2 linked regions of the Cricetulus griseus genome follow. The protein of the gene in region 1 interacts with the protein of each later gene in a pairwise test. Links are inferred from orthologs where the notes say so. Each region holds a gene or a part of one and is shown in the gene's direction. Other genes may lie near its edges. The genes, in order: Prr22 and Nelfa.

What was found.
Region 2: the proteins of Prr22 (region 1) and Nelfa interact in a two-hybrid assay, tested with the Homo sapiens proteins (2 studies listed by BioGRID). The two-hybrid records come from large-scale screens. The link is inferred for Cricetulus griseus from reciprocal best matches to the Homo sapiens genes PRR22 and NELFA.

The regions. Positions count from the first base shown.
Region 1 is NC_048598.1:96,772,951-96,783,720, reverse strand, and holds Prr22 (proline-rich protein 22), read left to right. Parts: upstream 1-4,709; 5' UTR 4,710-4,983; coding exon 4,984-5,095; intron 5,096-5,135; exon of another isoform or gene 5,136-5,179; coding exon 5,180-5,245; exon of another isoform or gene 5,246-5,570; intron 5,571-5,671; coding exon 5,672-6,747; 3' UTR 6,748-6,766; downstream 6,767-10,770. Other genes in the region: Dus3l (tRNA-dihydrouridine(47) synthase [NAD(P)(+)]-like), read left to right, coding at 695-1,198, 2,370-2,411, 2,521-2,673, 2,816-2,932, 3,115-3,180, 3,284-3,644, 3,770-3,845, 3,973-4,161 and 2 more.
Region 2 is NW_023276807.1:102,941,393-102,952,359, reverse strand, and holds the start of Nelfa (negative elongation factor A), read left to right. Parts: upstream 1-4,507; 5' UTR 4,508-4,650; coding exon 4,651-4,860; intron 4,861-10,967. UniProt on the Homo sapiens protein: Essential component of the NELF complex, a complex that negatively regulates the elongation of transcription by RNA polymerase II.

The DNA.
Region 1 (10,770 bases):
ACCGTCTGTGGTCCCACTGCCACATTGCCCCAAATAAGCACACAGAGACATGTATTAATTATAAATCTGTTGGCTGATGTCTAGGGCTTCTTATTAGCTAGCTCTGTCTTAATTATTAACCCGTTTCTATAAATATGTATTTCCACGTGGTTTTGGCTTACCAGAGAACACCTGGTGCATCCTATCCTCCTGGTCCCTCAATGGTGTCTCTTTCTGGTCTCCCTCTGCCTACCTTGCCCAGAATTCTCCTCTTCCTAATCCCGTCTGTCTTCCTGCCCCTATTGGCCAAACAGTGTTTTATTCATCAACCAATAAAAGAAACATATATACAGAAGTACATCCCCCATCGGTGGCCCATGCCAGTCTGATAAATCTGTTCCTGCTGTGCCAGGATGCTGTGCCCATGGGACTTATTTTTACTTACCTGACTCTAAGAGAGTGTTGGATGCCCTGGAACTAGAGTTATAGGCTGTTGTGAGCCACCACTGTGTGCTGGGAATCAAACCCAGTCATGTGCAAGAGCAGCCATGCTCTTGACCTCCTGTGAGCCTGAAAGTATTCCGGTTTTAGAGCTCGTGACTCTGGCACCCTGATGTTGCTGATAGTCCCAGGGATAGGTGGCTGGGAGAATAATCCCTTGCAACTGCCCTGGCCACTCCTTCCTCTCCCAGCCCCTCCCTCATGTTCCCCACAGGAGTCAGCCACGTGTGCATTTGGTGACCGGTGCCGATTCCTTCATGATGTGGGGCGCTACCTGGAGACAAAACCAGCAGACCTGGGCCCCCGCTGTGTGCTGTTTGACACCTTCGGCCGATGTCCTTACAGCGTGACCTGTCGCTTTGCGGGGGCACACCTGGGGCCTGAGGGTCAGAACCTGGTGCAGGAAGAGGTGGTAGCTCGCTGTGTGCACCTCCCTCTAGTGCGCAATGGCCTGAACAGGGCCCTGCAGCAGCAGCTGCGTAAGCGCCAAGTGTGCTTTGAACGAGCTGAGCAGGCCCTGCGCCGCCTGACCCAGGGCCCCATGCCCGTTGTTGTCCCTGAGGCCACTGTAGCCACGGTTACCCCAGACCAGAACAGCTGCCATGCCCAGTTGGACACTGCGGGAGGGGCCAGCACCCCGAGTGGCAGCCCTATTTCCACCTGTGGCCCCTTGACGGACGAGGACATTATTCGGCTACGGCCCTGTGAGAAGAAGCGGGTAAGGGTACTGTAAGCATGGGACACAAATGGAAAGGGAGCCAAGGAATACCACAGGTCACAGTAAGCATAGCAACTTCCGGCCCTGCTCCAGGGAAAGGCTTCACCAGTGTTAACAGCTCTGCTCTGGCAGGAGAGGGCTTCCCCAGTGAAGTTTTACAGTTCTGCTCTGTCCCTGGAGTATAGTGTAACATCTCCTCTTTACTAGGGGAAGGTTTCCCCGGTGAGAGCGTTACAGCCCTGCTCCACTCCACTCAGGCTCTATCTCTGCTTTAGTGAAGGAAGGTCTTACCCAAACCTCATTCAAGAGATTTATTGGGAGGGAATAATCCAGGAAGATGGTTGCCATTTGCCAGGGTTGAAAAGGCAGCAACAAACTGAACAGGCACAGGGATTATATAGGGCTTCTTCGGGTAGAGTTTTTCCAGGGAGAAGATTTCCAGGGTGGGATTGGTCAGATTTCAGTCCCTTGAGCTCAGATTGGGTAGATCTCATGCTCAGGGATTGGTTCTTTTTCTGCTCAGGGATTGGTTCTGATTTCCTGGTCAAAGTGCTTTTTGTTTGTTTGTTTCTCCGGTTTTTTGAGACAGGGTTTCTCTGTGGCTTTAGAAGCTGTCCTGGATCTAGCTCTTGTAGACCAGGCTGGTCTCGAGCTCACAAATATCGGCCTGCCTCTGCCTCCCGAATGTTGGGATTAAAGGCGTGTGCCACTACCACCTGGCCAAAGTGTGTTTTTTTTCACTGGTCCTTTTTATCCTGTTGGCTCTAATTTCAGGGCCAGGATGGATTTCTTTCACTGGCTCTGGTTTCAGGGCCAACTTCAGTTTCTTTGGCTGGCCCTTTTACCCTACAGGTACAGGCATAGCATCTGGGCTCCAACATTGTCCACAATCCTGCCTCACCAGAAAGAGCCTGGAGGATCAGGGCTAGGGGCTAAGGGGGCAACATGGAAGACTCCTGAAGGGAAGGGCATTGAGACTAGGGTTTTAGTGGTTGACTAGAAGCTCTCCAGTATAGAAGCCTGGGTGCTGATGAACTTTTCTCCTAAGAGGAATGGATGTGGTGTGTACAGAGCAAGCAATAGAAGGAGGCCACTGGGCGTGTGGGAGGGAGAGCATGCGTTAGAGCGGGGAAGGAGGCCTAACTTCACCTGATGTTTCCTTCCCTCCCAGCTGGACATCAGTGGAAAGCTATACCTTGCTCCGCTCACCACGGTAGGAGGTGCCTGGGGTGGGTGGCTCAGTAGTTCCTGGGGCATTGCTGGTGTCTGGTGTCCCTGCTTTGCTGACCTCTGAGGCCTGAACATGTCCTTGTCCTAGCCAGTGCGGGAACCTACCCTTTCGCCGCATCTGCAAGCGCTTCGGTGCGGATGTGACGTGCGGTGAGATGGCCGTGTGCACGAACCTGCTGCAGGGACAGATGTCTGAGTGGGCCTTGCTCAAGCGCCACCCCTGCGAGGACATCTTTGGGGTGCAAGTTAGTGTTTGCCCTGAGGGAGTTTGGAAGGGGCAGCCATGTTGGGGAGCAATACCCAGGATCTGTGGCCTTGTCCCCCTGACCTGGTGTCCGTGGGATGACCCTGGTGGGCTGGTCACTGACTACACACTGCCTGGTGCAGCTAGAGGGCGCCTTCCCTGACACCATGACCAAATGCGCTGAGCTCCTGAACCGCACCATCGACGTGGACTTTGTGGACATTAATGTGGGCTGCCCCATCGACCTTGTCTACAAGAAGGTGACAGCCACTCAGCTCTGGAGCTTGGGAGGGTGTGGCCCAAGCCTGGGACCCTGCCCTGCTGTCTCCATCTGGACATGGAGAACACTGAGCTGGGTGGCAGGCAATTCAGTTGTATGTGGGCACCCATAGGGAGAGTGTACGTTTCTTGGGAGGGTCACCAGGCTGTCCGTGTCCCACAGGGTGGCGGCTGCGCACTCATGAATCGCTCAGCCAAGTTCCAGCAGATTGTAAGGGGCGTGAATGAGGTAACCTGGGCTCATCAGGGACATGTCCCTCCTCGTTCCCACATAGTTCACCATGCAGCCTCCAGGCTTGCTGTCTGCTCCCTCTCTGCCCTTGTACCCACAGGTGCTGGATGTGCCATTGACTGTGAAGATGCGCACGGGTGTTCAGGAGCGTGTGAGCCTGGCACACCGCCTGCTGCCTGAGCTGCGGGACTGGGGTGTCGCACTGGTCACAGTGGGTGTCAGGGGCAGTGTGGTCCCATCTTGGGGTCACTGTGGTTTTCCTGGTCTCTTGTTTTCTGTCTCTTTGGTTCCTTGCTGTCTCCCTTGCCCCCTCTCACCCTTAACCCCTCCACCTTCCTTCATCACTGCACCCCCCTCCCCTCAGCTCCATGGCCGTTCCCGGGAACAGCGCTACACCAGGCTGGCTGACTGGCCCTACATCGAGCAGTGCGCCAAGGTAGCCAGCCCCATGCCCCTGTTCGGTAGGTGCCCAGAGCCACCGGGGCCACTCACCCTGCTGGAAAGACAGGGAGGATGCTGGGTCCCTGGGAAATCCCAAGACCGATGACTTCCCCAACACTGTCAAGACGCCACTCTGTCTCCTCAGGAAACGGGGACATCCTTTCGTTTGAGGATGCCAACTGTGCCATGCAGACAGGTGTCGCAGGGGTCATGATCGCCCGGTGAGTGGCATCTGGGCTGGGACAGGGATGCTAGAGGTTTCTACACATGGGGCCTCTGGGTGGGCAAGGCCCGGTGCTAAGGTGACTGGCAGGAAGCACTGTACCCACTGACTGTCTCCCTCCACAGTGGTGCCTTGCTCAAGCCCTGGCTGTTCACAGAGATCAAGGAACAGAGACACTGGGACATCTCGTCCTCTGAGCGCCTGGACATCCTGAGGGATTTCACACACTACGGCCTGGAACACTGGGGCTCTGACACGCAGGGTGTGGAGCGGACCCGGCGCTTCCTTCTCGAGTGGCTCTCCTTTCTTTGCAGGTGAGCGTCAGACAAGGAGAGTGCTGGAGCCTCGGATTGTAGCCTCAGGCCTCACCCAGTCTTATTGCCTCCCCTGTCCTCCTGCAGGTATGTGCCCGTGGGCCTGCTTGAGCGACTCCCACAGAGGATCAATGAAAGACCACCCTACTACCTAGGCCGAGACCACCTGGAGACGCTCATGGCCAGCCAGCAGGCCGCAGACTGGATTCGCATCAGGTACCCACTGGCCTGGGTCCTGTGGGGTGATGCTGGGAGGCCCAGGCCTGACTTGTCACCCTGTCCCCACAGTGAGATGCTGCTTGGACCAGTCCCACCCGGCTTTGCCTTCCTGCCCAAGCACAAAGCCAATGCCTACAAGTAGACAACGGAGACAATAAATTTTATTCTTCTACAACTTTTTTTTTGTTGGGTTTTTGAGACAAGGCTCCATGTTTCCTGGGATTTACTTTGAACTCCTGGAACCCTAGGCACGTACCTACCATCATATTCAGTTTTCTTTTATGTGCCATCCTTTCCTCTTCATCCAGGGTGTGGCCTTTGCTGGTGCCTGGTTCCTGTCTGCCCTGTTTTCGACTCCCAGCTATCCATTTTGCTGGCCAGCACCCTTGTGGCTGTGAATCTGGGCAACCTGGCCCAGGGTGTATCTACCCAGGCAGTGAAGGGAGTCACCTCCTGCCCACCCCCACCCCGGAATCCGAGGGGTGGGCCCATCCTGGACTGGAACCCTCCACCTAGCAACAGGGCAAACAACCCAGGGGACTGTGTCCCCGAGGTGCCTCTGCTGCCACCCAGGCCCCCCCCCCAGGGTGGCCTGTCTGCCCCATGCAGCACCCCAAAACCCTCTACCCCCCAGCCATACCCCAGGAAGGCTTCGGCCCACGGGGCCTGGAGGGCACTGAGGTGCCAGGTGGCCCAGAACCACTTCCCACCGTAGGTACGATGGTGGTAGCAGGCAGGGGTGTGTGATGGCCACGGGGCCTGGGCTCCTGCCCCACCCACCAGACGCCTTTATCCACAGCCAGCGCCAGCCTGCTCTATCAGACTCCCGGCTCGGACCACGATGTGCTATCAGCGCCTCCAGCAGGTACTGGCCAGCACCCTGAGCATGCTGAGAGCAGGCTCCGTCCTGACCCGAGATGAGACCCTGGGTCGCCTCTGTACCCCAGACAGATCCCCCCCATACTAACTCATGTGCCACAGTTTGAAGTGACAACTAGAGACCAGGCCGAAGCTTGCTTCGGTGACAACAGCTGCCACTAGGTAAGGGTTTTCACAAGGCCAAGCCACTCACAAGCTCAGTCACTGCTCCCCTGAGAATAGGAGTTTCCCCAACAGTCTCCGAGTGTCTTACCCGCCATGAATCCCCAGATGACTGCTAAACAAAGCCAGTACACACAGGCACCTTTGAGGTGAGGGCTGTGTCCTATGTGCCTGGGTCTTGGTCTGTCCCTCCCATCCCATGGTCTGGTTCCCCCATGGACACCCCTCTCAGAGTGTCTGCCACCTGCAGGCTTCCAGATGGCTCCCTGCGGCTGCTTCTTTGACCCCCGCATCTACCGAATCGAGTGGGCCACCTCCGACTTCGGCCAGTCGTCCCTATACAAGGTGGCAGTGGCCGGGGGTCCCACCTTGTCCAGTGGCTACCTGCTGGAGGCCCCATCCTACCTCAAGGCCCCGGGGCCTCCACCTCCGCTGTACCCCCACTACCAGCCAGCTCCCGGTGGGCCACAGTACCTTACACACTACCTTCCACCTGAGGAGTCTGGGCCCGAGGCAGTGGGCTTTGTGGGGGATGGAGGGTCCCTCAACTTTATGGAGATGCTCAGAGATGGCCTGGCACCCCCACCAACCCCCAAAGAGACTAAGCCATCTCCCTTGCTCATCACAGTCCCTACGGCACACTCGCTGCCACCTGGACCCTATGGCCATCTCAGTGGCCATGCTAGCCAGTTCCCAGGGCCCCAGGTGACCATGAGGCCCATCGAAGCCCCCAGGGAGCTGCAGGGCAGTGCCGTGGCCAGGCTGGGTCTGCGGTTCCCTCCTGGGCCTGCGGAGCCCAAGGTGGCCGAGGTGGAGGACATCACCCCCATGGGCTCAGGTGAGACCGTGCCTCCTGAGGTGGCCCGCGCTTTCTTCTTACCGGACAAGGTCCTTCTAGAAGATGCCATGAAACTTTTCGATTGTCTCCCTGGTGGCGCTGAACCTGAGGTGGCCCTGCACAGGGGTACCGGGCCCAGCCCGAGAGACAGTGGTGGTGGTGGGGATGACTGCACAGCCGACATCCGCTCCCTGCACCTGCCAGATGAGCTGCTGTCCTTCGACTATGGCGTCCCTGAGGTCCTGGATGCTGTGGCCAGTGTGGATTACGTTTTCAGCTTCAAGGCCCTGGATGATGAGCCGCTGCCCCATGTGGGGGTCCCTGTCACTGACATGGTGGCCCCTGGCCTACGGTCCCATCAGTCAGGAAAGAAGACCACCACATCCACCAAGAAAGGGAAACCAGGTGGCAGACAACGGCAGACCACAGGCCCCGCTGGCACCACAACCACAGGACCCAGGCCGGACCCGGGAACTGCCCTCAATTAAAGTGATTTGATCTCTGCTATGTGTTGCTGTGACCTGGTGAGGCCAGAGGGGACCCGGCAGTAGCTAGACGCCTTCAGAGTTGGGCCAGGAACCTCAGAATTAAGTGTCAGGTATCAGGCGTGCATCTGAACTGTTACCCTGTATTCGGGAGGCTGGGGCAGTCAGTCAGAACCACAAAGGATGCCCCGTCTAAAAGAAATGAGGACACAGGGGCTGGGCTGTAGCTCAGTAGAATACAGTGTTGGGTTTCAGTGCTTGGGGTTCAGTGGGTAGAGTGCTTGGGGCTCAGTTGCTACACACAAGACCCTGGACTCCATCCCCAGTGCCACATGAACTGTGTGTTTCATGAGTGTAACCCTGGTGCTGAGGAAATGAGAGGAACCAAAAGAATCAGAATTTCAAGGCTAGCCTGAGCTATATGAGACTGTATCAACAAGAAAATCAGTCACCTGGGGCTGGCCATGTTGGGAGGCCTCCTGAGAAGTGGGGTTTTCTTTTCCATCCAGACCTCACACTGAAATGGGTTCCCTTGTATGTTTGGTGGTCCAGAGAGGAGTGTACACAGTGTGGAGGGCAGGCCCTGGCCGGTGGCTCTCCCCGCCAGCTCTCAGTACCTCAACAGTCCCCACAAAGCCACAGTTTGTAGAAGGCAGGCAGGGAGGTCACCGCTGCTATTTGGGGGCTATGGTGGTATCTGGGAAGCTGAGCTCAGACTCAGCATGGTTGCTGGGGAGGGCATGACACAGATGGTTATTTGTGGGCCAGGTGTGGGCTTTGGGGGAGGGTGCTGTGTGTTGTGGGGAGGGAACAAGTCTTTCCCCCCAAAGCTGAGGGTGCCAGAAGGGGGTCTGTCTCTTGGGGAGCCCACAGTCAAGAGCAAGAGCAGGTGAGGCTAACAGGATCCCAAACCCGTGAAGGTGGAAGGAGAGAACCAGCTCCACAGAGTTGTTCTCTGACCATATAGTCATAATTTACCAGTCTGTCACCCAAGGCCACTGCTGCTTGTGGTCGTCATTCTCTCCCTCACCTACTCTGTAAATGTTTGTTAGCTGAGACAGGGTCTCAGTGTGTAGCCCTGGCTGGCCTGGAGCTCACAGGGATTTGTCTCCCTCAAGGCATGCGCTACCATGCTTCGCCTCCTTTTCTTTCCTTCCTTCCTTCCTTCTTTTTTTGTTTTTTGTTTTTTTCTGAGACAGGGTTTCTCTGTGTAGCTTTGGAGGCTGTCTTGGAACTAACTCTTGTAGACCAGACTGATCTTAAACTCACAGAGATCCACCTGCCTCTGCCTCCCAAGTGCCGGGATTAAAGGCGTGCGCCGCCGCCACCGCCGCTACCACCACCTGGCTCTTAGCTTGCTTTTCTTTCTTGGACAAGACTTTTGTAGCTCCAGGTGGCCACAAACCTATGTAGTTGAGAATGACCTTGAACTCCTAGTCTTTTGTCCTCTACCTGCAGAGTGCTGGGTTGACAGGTCCTGTGGGCAGAGCTCAGTGCCTCCTGTGTGTGGGCAGATGCTCTGCCCACTGAGCAGCCCATCTTAATTCCACTAACAGAGTCCTATGAGAGTTGGAGTTCCCTGCCTTGCTCGGTGCCCCCCTTCCCAGAGTTGCTGGGAAGAGACACCATCTATCTCCTGGCTTCCTTCCCTCCAGTGTGGCTAAGCAAGAGTTTGGGAGGTACAGCTTTAGGATTGTAGAGTAATGATGGAAGGGCTTGCATGTAAGTGCTGTGAATCATGGGTCGGGAGCACCGTGTAGCATGGAAGTGCTCCTCATCGGGCTGGGGCACATCCAGGAAGTTCCCCTGGAAGCAGTTCCAATTGAGATCAATGACAAAGGTCGCAGTGGGCAGAGCCTTTGACTGGCACGGATGAAGTCCTGGGTCAGCCCCCAGTACCACATAAATGGTATGGCAGCCCACATATGTCATCTCAGAACTAGGTGGAGGCAGGAGGCTCAGGAGTTCAAGGTCACCTGCTACTATATAGCCTTTAAGACCAGCACTCGGAGGCAGAGGCAGGCATGTATCTGTGAGTTCGAGACCAGCCTGGTCTACAAGAGCTATAGTTCCAGGACAGCCTCCAAAGCCTCAGAGAAACCATCTCAAAAAACAAGAACCAACCAAACAAACAAACAAAAAGACCCCACTCAGGAGGCAGAGACAGGCAGCTCTCTGTGAGTTTGAGGCCAGTCTGGGCTACATAGTTCCAGACTGGCTAGGTAGTTCAACCCTATCTTTGAAAGTAAAAAGCTGAAATTGGTTACATGTAGCACAGGAATGGAAACAGGACTGTGGGGTCTTGGCCATCGGCTTAGTTCCAGTGTCAGCAAGAGACTGTCCTCCAAGTTCCTCCTCTCGCTTTCACATCATGCACAGCCCTGGGCCGATCAGTGATCTAAAGTGTCCGGGCGCTTGCCCCAGAAAACAACCTGACCCAGTGTCTGAAGGGAAGAGCCATGGTGGAAGGTTAGGTCCCGAATGTCTGAAGGATGATGCCAAGCTCCTGCCTGTCCTGCGAGTGTCTGAATGGCAATGCTAAGATCCCACCTGTTGTCCCTGGGCCACCCCCACCCCTGCCACCACCCTGAGACTCTGTCTGCTCCTGCTAAGAGCAAGAAGCTGACAAGCCTGAGCACGGGGACGGCAGTTCTGGGAATGGGCGAAGTCACTAAAGGGTGGTAGGGTGGGGCCTGGAGCAGGACCCGGGGATGGAGACACATCAGCCCGAGATGGGAGAACCAGGAGGGAAGACAAGCTTCAGGGAGAGAATGTCTCCCTGGGTGGGAGACCTCCATTTTCTTTATTAAACAACAAAAAGATTTTCATTTCATGTCTGCTGGTGTCTTGCCTGGGTGTGCCTGTGCCCCATGTGAGCGCAGTGCCTGAGGAGGCTGCACAGGGCCTAACGCAGTTACAGATGCTCGTGGAGTGCCATGTGCATGCTGGGAATTGAATCCAAGTCCTCTGCTCTAAATACTGACCCATCTCCCCGGTCCCCAAATAAATCTTTTTGTTTTTGTTGTGTTTTTCAAGATGGTTTCTCTGTGTAGCCCTGGCTGTCCTGGAACTCACTGTGTAGACCAGGCTGGACTTGGACTCACAGAGATCTGCCTGCCTCTGCCCCCAGAATGCTAGGACTAAAGGCGTGCGCCACCACACATGACTCCAAATCTCTCTCTCTCTCTCCTTTTTGTTTTTTTGAGACAGGGTTTCTCTGTGTAGCTTTGGAGCCTATCCTGGAACTCACTCTGGAGACCAGGCTGGCCTTGAACTCACAGAGATCCGCCTGCCTCTGCCTCCGGAGTGCTGGGATTAAAGGCGTGAGCCACCAACGCCCAGCTTCTTCTTTTTTTTTTTTTTAAAGTTTTCCCCAAACCATGAAGGACCAATGTCCTTTGAGCTCTACATCATGTGGGACAAGGGAGTTGAAGCAGGTTAGGCCGCCACCACTAGACAGACTGCTGGAAGCATCACTGCATCAGGGAGCTTTTGTTGCAGAGCCCTGCAAGTTGGTACATGCCAACATGCACCACCTCCTGCCAAGGCTCGGGGAGACTTGGTAGTCTGGAGTATGCATGGGGAGGCAACAGGTTTCCAGGATGAAGAGCAGAAATAGAAAACAGGATCAGGGCCCCAGTGAGACCCAGGCCTGGGCCAGGTCCTGATCTAACTGCCCAGAGCAAGTGCCAAGGCAGCCGCAGCTTGAGGCATTACTTTGAATGGAGTGCTTGGGGGAGGAGCTGGGAGCATAGTGCCATGGGAACACTCATTTCCTGAGTATGATGGTCTGCATGAGATGCGCCCCCCCACACCCTCAGACATTCGAATCCTTGGTCCTTAGTTGGTGGTACTGTTTGCTTACAGAACCTTAGATGATGCTTGTTCCTGGGGTGGGCATGGGTGTGTAGCCTCCCACCACCTCCAGCTCTCAGCTTCCTGCTCTGGGTACCGGCTGTCTCACCTCACCTGCCATTACAGACTGTCCTTCAGGAGTAGCTGTGGTCCAATCATGGCTGTCTCTCA
Region 2 (10,967 bases), on another chromosome or scaffold:
TCCTGCTATAAAAGTCATGCCAGTGAGTCAGGCAGTTTCTCATTGTTGTTATCCTGGCTTCTCCCTCTCCCTGGGTTCTGGGCAACCTGGCCCTGTTCTTACACCCAAGTTCTCTCCTCCAGCCACGTGGTTTATCCTCAGCACCCAACTGTCACTCCGCACCAGCCCTCTCCTGGGCCTGGGCCTGGGCCTTCTTCTTAGGGAATCTTTCCTGATCGCAGGGCCTCTCTGATCCTCAGGCTCTCTCCCTCCCCACCTGGGGATTGATTTACTCTGGGCTACCTTCTGTTGCCTGGGATCCATCTTTGACAGGTGATTGCTCCTCACTGACAGCTGTCAAAGGTTGCATGGCTGCATTGTGCATGCACTAGGTGGCAGAAATCATGTGGAACTGGGGCCACATAGAGCTGGGCTAACGGAAGCTCCATGACTCCAGTTTCAATGACCCCAACTGCTGAGACGCATTCTAAACAGTTCCCATCCCCTATATAATAAGCGAGTACCTCCAGCTCATTCTCTTCTTTTTTTTCCATTTCTGCTGCCCTCCCTTTGCTTCCTTTCCCAATAAACTCCATGTAGATTTGTTGAGTTTGGTGGATCATGTTTCATTTCCGGAAGCTGCAGCAAAGAGCAACACCCACCACAAACTGGGTTCAGGTAGGGAGTTGGGCTGCTGGCAACTTGAGGAGAGGAGCTGTAGAATTGGGCCTTTTGGTGCCTTCCCTTTGTTCAGAGATTCTCTTGAGTGGGCAGGGTTTGGAAAGACAGTAATGGGACTTCTCAGACTGTGTGGGAACTGCAGGAGCAAGCTGGAGGTTCCAACAAAACACTCAGTACAGCTCAATGTTCAAAGATGGCACACTTGATTTCCAAACTCTTGCAGATTGTAACAACTTCTGCCACTGCACAAGCAAATAATCCCAACACATTTCTTTTTGTGTGTGTTGTTGTTGTTGTTCCTATAAGTAACCTTTCACCCATGTTCTTCTAAGTGATACCAATAAAACTCTTTGGTTCAACAAATTGGACTTTGGTGGTACCCATACTTCAGTCTGTCATGGGTTCCTTATCTGGGGTGAGTAGATTTGCTTTGTAATTTGTTTATGTTTCCCAGGGAATAGTGCCACACAGCTCACCCAATGTTGATCTCAGGACTTCACATTAACACACTCACACCACACACAAACAAGACAAGAGACTGACATAGAATAAGCTGCACATTTTAACTGTCCCTCACCCTCACCCTGGAAACCTCCTGCAGGCCTCAGTTGTAATTAGGGTGCATTCTGGCTTTGTGGAAATAGAAATTCACCATACTACTCTTTCATCCAGTGGACTGGTATAAGAACCTTCATTTCTCTTCTTCTGGGGTGAAGTGTATGAAATAAATCTGGTGTGGTGGTTTGGATAGGAATAGGCCCCCATCAGTTCACATATCCCAATGCTTTGTCATTACAAGGGAGTAGTGCTCTTTTATAGGGATTAGATGTGTTGCCCTATTGGAGTAGGTATGGTTTTGGTGGAGGAAGTGTGTCACTGGGGGTGGGCTTTGGGGTTTCAAATGTTCAAGAAAGGCCCAGTCTGTCTCTGTCTTTCTCTCTTTCTCTCTCTGCTGCCTGTGGAACTGGGTCTGGATGTAGAACTCTAATCTACCATGTCTGCCTGCACAACACCATGCTCTCCTCCATGACGATAATGGACTAAACCTCTGAAACTGTAAGCCAGCCCCAATCAAATGCTTTCCTTTATTAGGAGTTGCTGTGATTATAGTGTCTCTTCACAGCAATGCAACACTGACTAAGACATCTGGGATCTCAGGATCCAAAAATCCTTCATCAAAATGGTTGTTTTTGGGATTTTTGTGTGTGTGAAAGGGGTAAACTAAACTAAAAGGCTTTACTCCTAGTAGTAAAGGGACCAGACCCCCATTTAGCCCCCTGCTTTAGCAGCCATGACAGGCTGCAGAAGACTTGTAGGCCTCTGACTCAGCACATGACACAAACGCCAGACACCCCCCCCCCAGCCTCCTAGATACTTGTAGATACTTGGTTGCTGGAACTGTTTGGCTACAAAAGAAACTCCAGGGGAGACCAAAACCTCCCCAATAGTCTACAGGATACAGTTCCAAAAACTATTGGTATCTATGAACAATAGGCCACCTGAAAGTAACAAAACAAAGCCATAGAAATCACAGAATGTTCCCTCTCAGCACTGACCAATGAGAATAATTGGTACACAGGTATTTCATGCCAAAATATGACTTTTGAGAAATTCTCCTGATTGTTCCCAAATGTCAACCAATCAGAAACAAACCTGTACCTACTCATGTAATCCTGTAACTTTGTCTTTAAAACCTAGCAGAAGACAGGAAACTTCACTCCCTTTAGAGGCTGCTGCATCAGCTTGCTATATGAGGTCCCTGTCATGGTTGAATGAACTGCTTTTGCAGGTTGGTGGGTCTGTCTTCCTGGTGGTCTCTGGGGATCTTTGCGACTTGGGCAAAACAAGTATGAATAACTTTTTTCTTTTGAGGCAGGGTCTCACTATGTAGTTCCTGCTGTCCTGGAACTTATTATTTAGACTAGGCTGGCCACCAACTCAGAGATCTGCCTGCCTCTGCCTCCCAAGTGCTGGAACTAAAGTCATGTGCCATCACACCTGGCAAGTATGAGTAATTTGGAGCACCAGGAAAGTCCACTTCACTACAAGTGTTGACTTCAAAATACTAAATTCCTGATGCTCCCTGAAGCAGGCAACACACAAAAAAGTATCTTCCCTGCCATTAACTATGTATATAACATCCGGTAACTTCAGGAAGTGGCCTTGTGAGTCTTACATCTTCAGAGCTCCCTCCTTTGTACTTTAGTTACCACACTACAGTCTTTTAAGAGCGCTCTCCTCTCTACAGGAAACAATTTTTCAATTAGGAGAAAACAGATAAACACTTCTTTCTTTATACAGTCTCATTCTGTGGCCCCAAATGGACTATAACTTGTGGCTCTGTCTCACCTTTTCCAATCCCAGCATTACAAGCATGGACCACCAGTCCCAGAATACTTAAGAGGACGGACATGGGTAGTGGCACACGCTTTTAATCCCTGTACTTGGGAGGCAGAGGCATGTGGATCTCGGGTGTCTTCCAGGACAGCCAGAGCTGCAAGTTGATTCCTGCTAGTAACCTCAGCATGGGGGGTGGGGTGCACTCCAGGAAAACCTACTCCACTCCACCTGTCTTAGGGTAAAAGCAGCAGTCTACAATTCTGATGATTAATCACAGGCATCTCCACCTGTCTCACACGTAGAACAGACCTGTACTCAAGCCCCACAATTCCTGGTACCAATCTGTCTTAGGGTTTCTATTGCTGCGATGAAGCACCATGACCAAAAAAGCAAGTTGGGGAGGAAAGAGTTTATTTGACTTATACTTTCATATTGCTGTTTATTATTGAAGGAAGTCAGGACAGGAATTCAAACAGGGCAGGAGCTGATGCAGAGGCCATGGAGGGGTGCTTACTGGCTTGCTACCTATGACTTGCTCAGCCTGCTTTCTTATAGAACCGAGGACCACCAGCCCAGGGATGGTTCCACCCACCATGGACTGGACCCTCCCCCATTGATCATTGAGAAAATAAAATGCCTTACAGCTAGATCTCATGGAGGCTTTCCTCAACTGAGGCTCCTTTCTCTGATAAGTCTAGCTTATGTAAAGTTGACACACAAAACCAGCAGTTCAACTGACCCCTTGTCAACCTGACACACACTCTTAAGCCACAACTCTTCCTTTTTTATTCATCCCCAAGATCTCACATTCAAAATTTAAATAACTTTAAAAGTCCCACCGTATGGGGCTGGAGAGATGGCTCAGAGGTTAAGAGCACTGGCTGCTCTTCCAGAGGTCCTGAGTTCAATTCCCAGCAACCACATGGTGGCTCACAACCATCTCTAATGAGATCTGGTGCCCTCTTCTGGCCTGCAGTCATACATGCAGACAGAACACTGTACACATAATAAATAAATCTTTAAAAAAAATAGTCCCGCCGTGCCGGGCGGTGGTGGCGCACGCCTTTAGTGCCAGCACTCAGGTGGCAGAGACAGGTGGATCTTTGCGAGTCTGAGACCAGCCTGGTCCGAACGAGTTCCAAGGCAGCCTCCAAAGCTACAGAGAAACCCTGTCTTGAAAAAAAAGTCTCACCGCAGCACTGTCTGCAGGTCGGCAAGGGGAAGAGTGAGAGGGTTCCAGGCTGCGAAGTGACGCCGTGAGGAACCAGGCCAACGGCCCCTCGGGACATCCGCCCACCGAGCAGTGAACGGAGAAACCGAACTCTATCCCCGGATTCTGGGCGGTGCATCTCGACGGCACAGGGGTGCGACTCAACTCGGGCTTACGTCATTGCCCGGCTCCGGGTTGGGCGCCGCCATGATGCGATACGGAAGCCCACAGGCCTCCTGGCAGCTCCGTATCGCGGCGGCGGCGCTCGGCCCTCGGCCCTCGGCCGGAAGCCTCCGCAAGGCGCAGCCGTCTGCAATCGCTCTTGTCTGTCGCTCGAGGCCCCGCCCCGCGCTCACGGGCGCCGCCATGTTGGGGGTCCTCGCTGGAGACACGTAGGCGTCCGCGTAAGATGCCGGCCGGCGCGCGTTACTGCCGCCAAGATGGCGTCCATGCGGGAGAGCGACACGGGCCTGTGGCTGCACAACAAGCTGGGAGCCACGGACGAGCTGTGGGCGCCCCCCAGCATTGCGTCCCTGCTTACCGCTGCGGTCATCGATAACATCCGCCTCTGCTTCCACCGTCTCTCATCGGCTGTGAAGCTCAAGCTGCTGCTCGGGACGCTGCATCTTCCGCGCCGCACGGTGGACGAGGTGAGGGCGCGGGTCGGCTTCTCTCCGGCCGGAGCGCAGCTCCCGCCTCCCGCCTCCCACCTCCCACCTCCCGCCTGCACCCACGCCGTGCCTTTCCTTTTCCCCCGCTGGCTGCGCTCATCTCCGGGTTGGCGCCGCTCGGCCTACCCACCCGGCCCGACGCGTCAGTGCCTCCAGCCGCCGGGCCGCTGGCTGCGACCGGGGGTCGTGGGCCCAAGGCCGGAACAGCCCTCAGCCCGGCTGGCCGGGCGCGGAGTACTGGACGCTGCAGTTCCGAAGCCACCTTTGGTTTGGGGCTCTTAGTCAAGTGACTGCTTATCTTAATTTTGTCGCCTTTGCCTCTCGGAGTATCAGTCTGCTTAGCATCCTCTCTATTCTGTCGACACTCTTCAGTGCATTCTTACTCCACGTTGCATCTCTGCAAAATATACGATGCTTTGCAAATACATACACAACAAATATCTCTGCAGGGTAGCCCAGCTTGACCTCCACGTACTTGGTATATCCTGCATCACTATCTGGAGGGCTGGGATTGCAGGTCTGGGCCACCACATCTGACAGCAAAAACACCAAAGCACCTTAGTTTTTAAACATTTCTGGTTAGTTGTATCACTAAGGTTGGTTTTAGTTTTTGTTGCGCTATTGAAAAAAAAAAAAGCAACTGCATGCTTTTCAGTTCAGCAAATACTAATAGCTAAATGACCCACTTCTGTTATCGTCATACAAAAGAACACGGCTGCATCCTCCCAAGCACTTCCTTGCCTCTCTTCCCCACGGGAGTAAACATTTATCTTTTCTTTTTCTTTCAGGATTATCAATTGTGTGTGCATTCCTAGCAGGAGTATTTAGTTTCTGCCTCATTTGAACTTAATATGGCAACATGTTACTATGTTATGTGCTTTTTTGGTGTAGTGTGGGTGTGTCCTCTGTCGGTAGACACTTGGACAGAGTCATACAAGTTGCTGCAGACAATTTGTTCCTTTCTTCCTTCTTTTTTTTTTTTTTTTTTTTTTTTTTGGAGGGGGTTGTTTTCGAGACAGGGTTTCTCTGTGTAACAGTCCTGTCTGTCCTGGAACTTTGTAGACCAGGCTGTCCTTGAACTCATTGAGATCTGCCTGCTTCTGCCTCCCAAGTGCTGGGATTAAAGGAGTGCACTGCCACAACCAGGCCAGAGTTTGATTTTTCATGCATTATGGTGTTCTCTTCTCCAAGCACACAGCACATGGACGATTAGGTTGTGGCTTGTTTTTTCATCTGTTTTTTTCCTGTTTCATGTTAGCTTGTTCTGTTGTGACTGACACCAGCATTATATGTCCAGGTGACTGTGAGCATGCATTTTTTCTAGAAGTAGAATTGTAGGTGGTAGCAGGATTATGGCAAGTGGCTTTTCAAAGCAATACTATCAAATAATTCTCAACGACACATAGGGCAAGTAAAATGGTTTAGTTGAATGTTGTGTCATCTGCTTATTTTTCTGTTTGGCTTTCTTTTTTGTGAGTTGTTCTACTTATTTTTCCTGGTGGTCTATTTTTCTTGGTTTGTCACTTTGGAAGAATATTCTTTTTAATAAATGCTGGCTTCTTACTGTCTTAGTTTGATGACATGTTTCAGCTGTTTCCCAGCTTAGCTTTTTGGATGGAGCTCTTGGTACTTAGCCTCTCCTTCCCTGTGGTTGTTGCCTGCTTAGCCTTGTTCAGAAAGTGCTTCTTCCTTGAGGTTAGGCACCTGTGCTCTCTCGTTAGCACTGCACTGTAAGCCTCCTCCTCCCATGGGCTGCTTTTGTGAAGCTGAGAGTTCAGTTTACATGTGGCTATGGAAGGTCCAACACCACAGACTGTTTTTTCTGCCCTATTGCTTCTGCTGTGAGCTTTTTTTTTTTTCCCCTGATAATGTGCTGAGCTATTTGCTATCACTTTATTGTTATGTGTTTTGATGTCATGCAGGCTCAGAAAGGTAGAGAAAGTTGACCTTCCTGGTCAGCTGATGCCCCAGAAGTTTTTCTCCTATTCCATCTCAAACAAAACCTCTCTTTAGACTGAATATCCCTCCCTTCTACCTCTTTTGTATCTATCTGTCCTCCTGACTCCCTCTTACTCTCTGTGATTTCTTCTTTTTATTTATTTATTTATTTTTTGTTTATTATGTATACAGTATTCTGTCTGCATGTGTCCCTGCAGGCCAGTAGAGGGCACCAGATCTCATTACAGATGGTTGTGAGCCACCATGTGGTTGCTGGGAATTGAACACAGGGCCTCTGGAAGAGCAGTCAGTGCTCTTAACCTCTGAGCCATCTCTCCAGCCCTTTTATTTCTTCTTAATAGTCTTATGTTCATTTCCTGTCAGCTGGTTGTTTGCTCCATCTGTTGACCTATGGTTGACTTTGTTTAATCCTGTTTACAATACTCAAGCAGAAAGCTCTTGGATTAAAGGTGTGTGCTAGGGCTGAGTCACACCACAGTAGACACAGGTTTTTTTTCAGTAAATAATGCACACTCGGGGCTCATAGTGTGATCCTACAATAGTGACATAAAGGGTAAAGCCTCCACCTAACCTGCAGTAATGGCTTCAGCTTTCCTTGGCCCCAGCACTTCTCTGGGTCTTTTTTGTGTGTGTATCTTTGTGTTTACATTTGTGCATGTGTATGTGCACATGTAGGTGGAAGTACGGTTTAGGTGTCTGCCTCAGTTGCTCTACAGCGTATTCCTGAGTTCTTCCTGTCTTCTCTGTAGAGCTGGACTATATAGGCTCATACCCACAGAGCAAGGCTTTTTATGTGGGTATGGGAATCTAAACGTGGGGCCTCCAACTTGGCTTGGTAACAGTCCACCAACGGAGCCATGTTCTCAGCTCACAGGGTAAATAGTCTTAATAGCACAGAGTCTTGCTGGGCAGTGGTGGCACAGGACTTTAATCCCAGCACTCGGAAGGCAGAGGCAGGCATATCTCTGAGTTTGAAGCCAGCCTGGTGTATAGAACAAGATCCAGGACAGCCAGAACTACACAGAGAAACCTTGTCTCAAAAAACAAAACAGTGTGTGTGTGTGTGTGTGTGTGTGTGTGTGTGTGTGTGTGTGTGTGTGTAACCTAGAGGAGGTTTGGGCAGTTATTTAGAACAGAATCATTAAGTTCTGTGATTCTCCTCTGTTTGTATATTTCATATTTTTGTTTGCTAATGGTATATAGAAATCCTTTAGACTTAGGCAATGAGTCAGAATAGCACCTGGGCTGAGGTCTCCTTTTTGTTGTTGTTGGTTTTGGTTTTGGCTTTTTTGTTTGCTTGTTTTTTTTTGTGGGGGGGGTTGTTTTGTTTTGAGACAGGGTCTCTACATAGCCTTGGCTGTCCAGAAACTCACTATGTAGACCAGACCAGACTGGCTTGGAACTTCCAGAGGTCTGTCTGCCTCTCCCTGTGCCTTCCAAGTGCTGGGATGAAAGGCAAACACTCAGCTCTGGGCTGAGATCTTTTTCTTTTTTTCTTTTCTTTTTTTGTTTGTTTTTCAAGACAGGGTTCTCAGTGGCTTTGGAGGCTGTCCTGGAACTAGTTCTTGTAGACCAGGCTGGTCTTGAACTCACAGAGATCCACCTGCGTCTGTCTCCCGAGTGCTGGGATTAAAGGCATGCGCCACCAACATCTGGCTTTGGGCTGAGATCTTATTGTGATTGTTTTCTGGTGTAATCGGGGTTTATTAATTTCTTTTTCTTACCTTACTATACTGTCTACTTGTACTGTTGATCCTCTGCATTGTAGCATCCTGGATTTGCCTGTTCCTCTGTATCAGCTGTTGCTTTGTATATTTTTGGTTTTGTGTTAATAGGTATGTATAACTTTGTAGTTGTTGTAGTTACATTGTGAACAGAACAGCAGGTGGAGATGTTACAGTATTGGCTAATGTTTTGTCCTTAGGTTTTTAAATGGTTCATAAAGAATTATTTTTTATTTTTATTACATTTATTTATTATGTTGCTATACTTTATATGTGGAGGTCACAGAACACCTTATAGGAGTAGGTTTTTTTCCAAAGATTAAACTCTGGTTGTCAGACTTAGTGGGAAATATCTTTACTTACTGCTAGGGCATCTTGCTGGCACTTAGATCCATTTATGCTTGTTTGGCTCTTTTTTTTTAATAACAGAGTCTCTATGCGGCCCTACTTGCTCCATCTCTCTCTGCCTCCAGTGTGTTGGAATTAAAGAAATGCACCACCATGTCTGGTCTTTGTAACAGTTTTTATCTGATGTTAATACTAGCTTAATCATCTTGTTTCTTGATGTGACTGTTGGGGTGATTTGAATGAGGATGTCTCCCATAGGTTCTGAGATTTGAATACTTGGCTCCCAGTTAGTAGCAGTTTTGGGAGACTTAGGAGTTGTGGCCTTCCTAGAGGATGTATATCATGGGGAGGGGGTGAGCTTTGAAATTTTAAAGACTGTTTCAAGTTCGTTCTTTGCTTCATCATTGTGGTTGAAGATGTGAGCCCTCAGCTCTGCTCCAGCTGTGTGTGTGCCGCTTGCTGCTACACCTCCCTGCCACAGTGGACTTTTATACTGGAACCCTAAACCCAAGTAAATTCTTTCTTCTGTAAATTGCCTTGGTCACAATGTTTATCACAGAAATAGAAAAGTAACTAATAGCCGAGTGGTGGTGGCGCACGCCATTAATACCAGCACTCGGGAGGTGGAGGCAGGAGGATTTCTGTGAGTTCGAGACCAGCCTGGTCTACAAGAGCTAGTTCCAGGACAGCCTCCAAAGCCACAGAGAAACCCTGTCTTGAACACCCACCACCACCACCCCCCAAAAAAGAAAGAAAAGTAACTAATATAGCGTTGTCTTAGTTTGGTTTCTATTGCTGTGATAAGATACCATAAGCAAAAACAACTTAGGGAATAACGTATTTCAGCTTGAGTTTATGAAGTCTGTCATGGAGGGAAGTCAGAGCAGGAACTGAAGCAAAAGCCATGGAGGAATGCTGCTTACTGGTTTACTTTCACAAACCACAGAAACACCTGCTTGGAGTAGCACCACCCACAGGCAGCTGAGCCCATCCCCATCAATCATAAGTCAAGAAAATGAGTCTGTTGTGGGATATGCCTTTAATCTGAGCACTCAGGAGGCAGAAGTAGGCAGATCTCTTGAGTTCCAAGCCATCCAGAGTGAGACTCTATTTAAAAAAAAAAAAGGAGGAAGAGGAAGCCATCTCCACAGACTTGCCTATAAAACAGTCTTTATGGCGACATTTCCAATGAGGTTAGGTTTCCTCTTCCGGGATAACTCTAGTTTGTGTCAAGTTGACAAAAAAAGCTAACCAGCACAGTTCACCCTTAGTCATCTTGCTACTCAAACATATCACTGTTAAATCATCATCTTTCTCTGTTGTATTTGTACCTAAAATCATGTTAATATTAACATCAAAATGCCAGGCGGTGGTGGCGCACGCCTTTAATCCCAGTACTCGGGAGGCAGAGGCAGGCGGATCTCTGTGAGTTCGAGACCAGCCTGGTCTGCAGAGGGAGTTGCAGGACAGGCTCTAAAGCTACACAGAGAAACCCTGTCTCTAAAAAAGAAAGAAGCAGCAGTGGTGTCCCCAAGGACTTGCCCATAGGCCAGTCTAAAGGAGACATTTTTTCAACCGAGGTTCCCTCTCCCCAGATGACTCCAGCTTTGTGTCAGGTTGACAAAAACTAAATAGCGTAGATGTGTATAAATGTCTCTGTATGTAGTGTTTATATACGCGAATATGTATGCAATTCTCCAAATCTGCACAGCCTTACTCTGTAGAAGCTAAGTAAACAGCAGTTCTCAACTAGTTCAAAGAGAAAAGTGTTTCAGTGGTCTGTGTTTCAGTTACTCAGTGAGGGATGCAGAATTAGTTGGAGTTGCTGACACCTTAATATGAACTAAGGATACCTTGTGTAAGGATGTAGATGATTGTAGAGACAACATAGGAACTGACAAGATGGTGCTTGAGTAAATTTAAAGGCCTTGAGGAAATGGGAAGTGCTGCTCCTGAATAGTACTCTGTAGTAGGCTTTCTTGGACTGCTAACCAGCTCCCAAGTCAAGACACAGAAACTTATCAGTTATGAATGCTCAGCCTTATCTTATGCTTC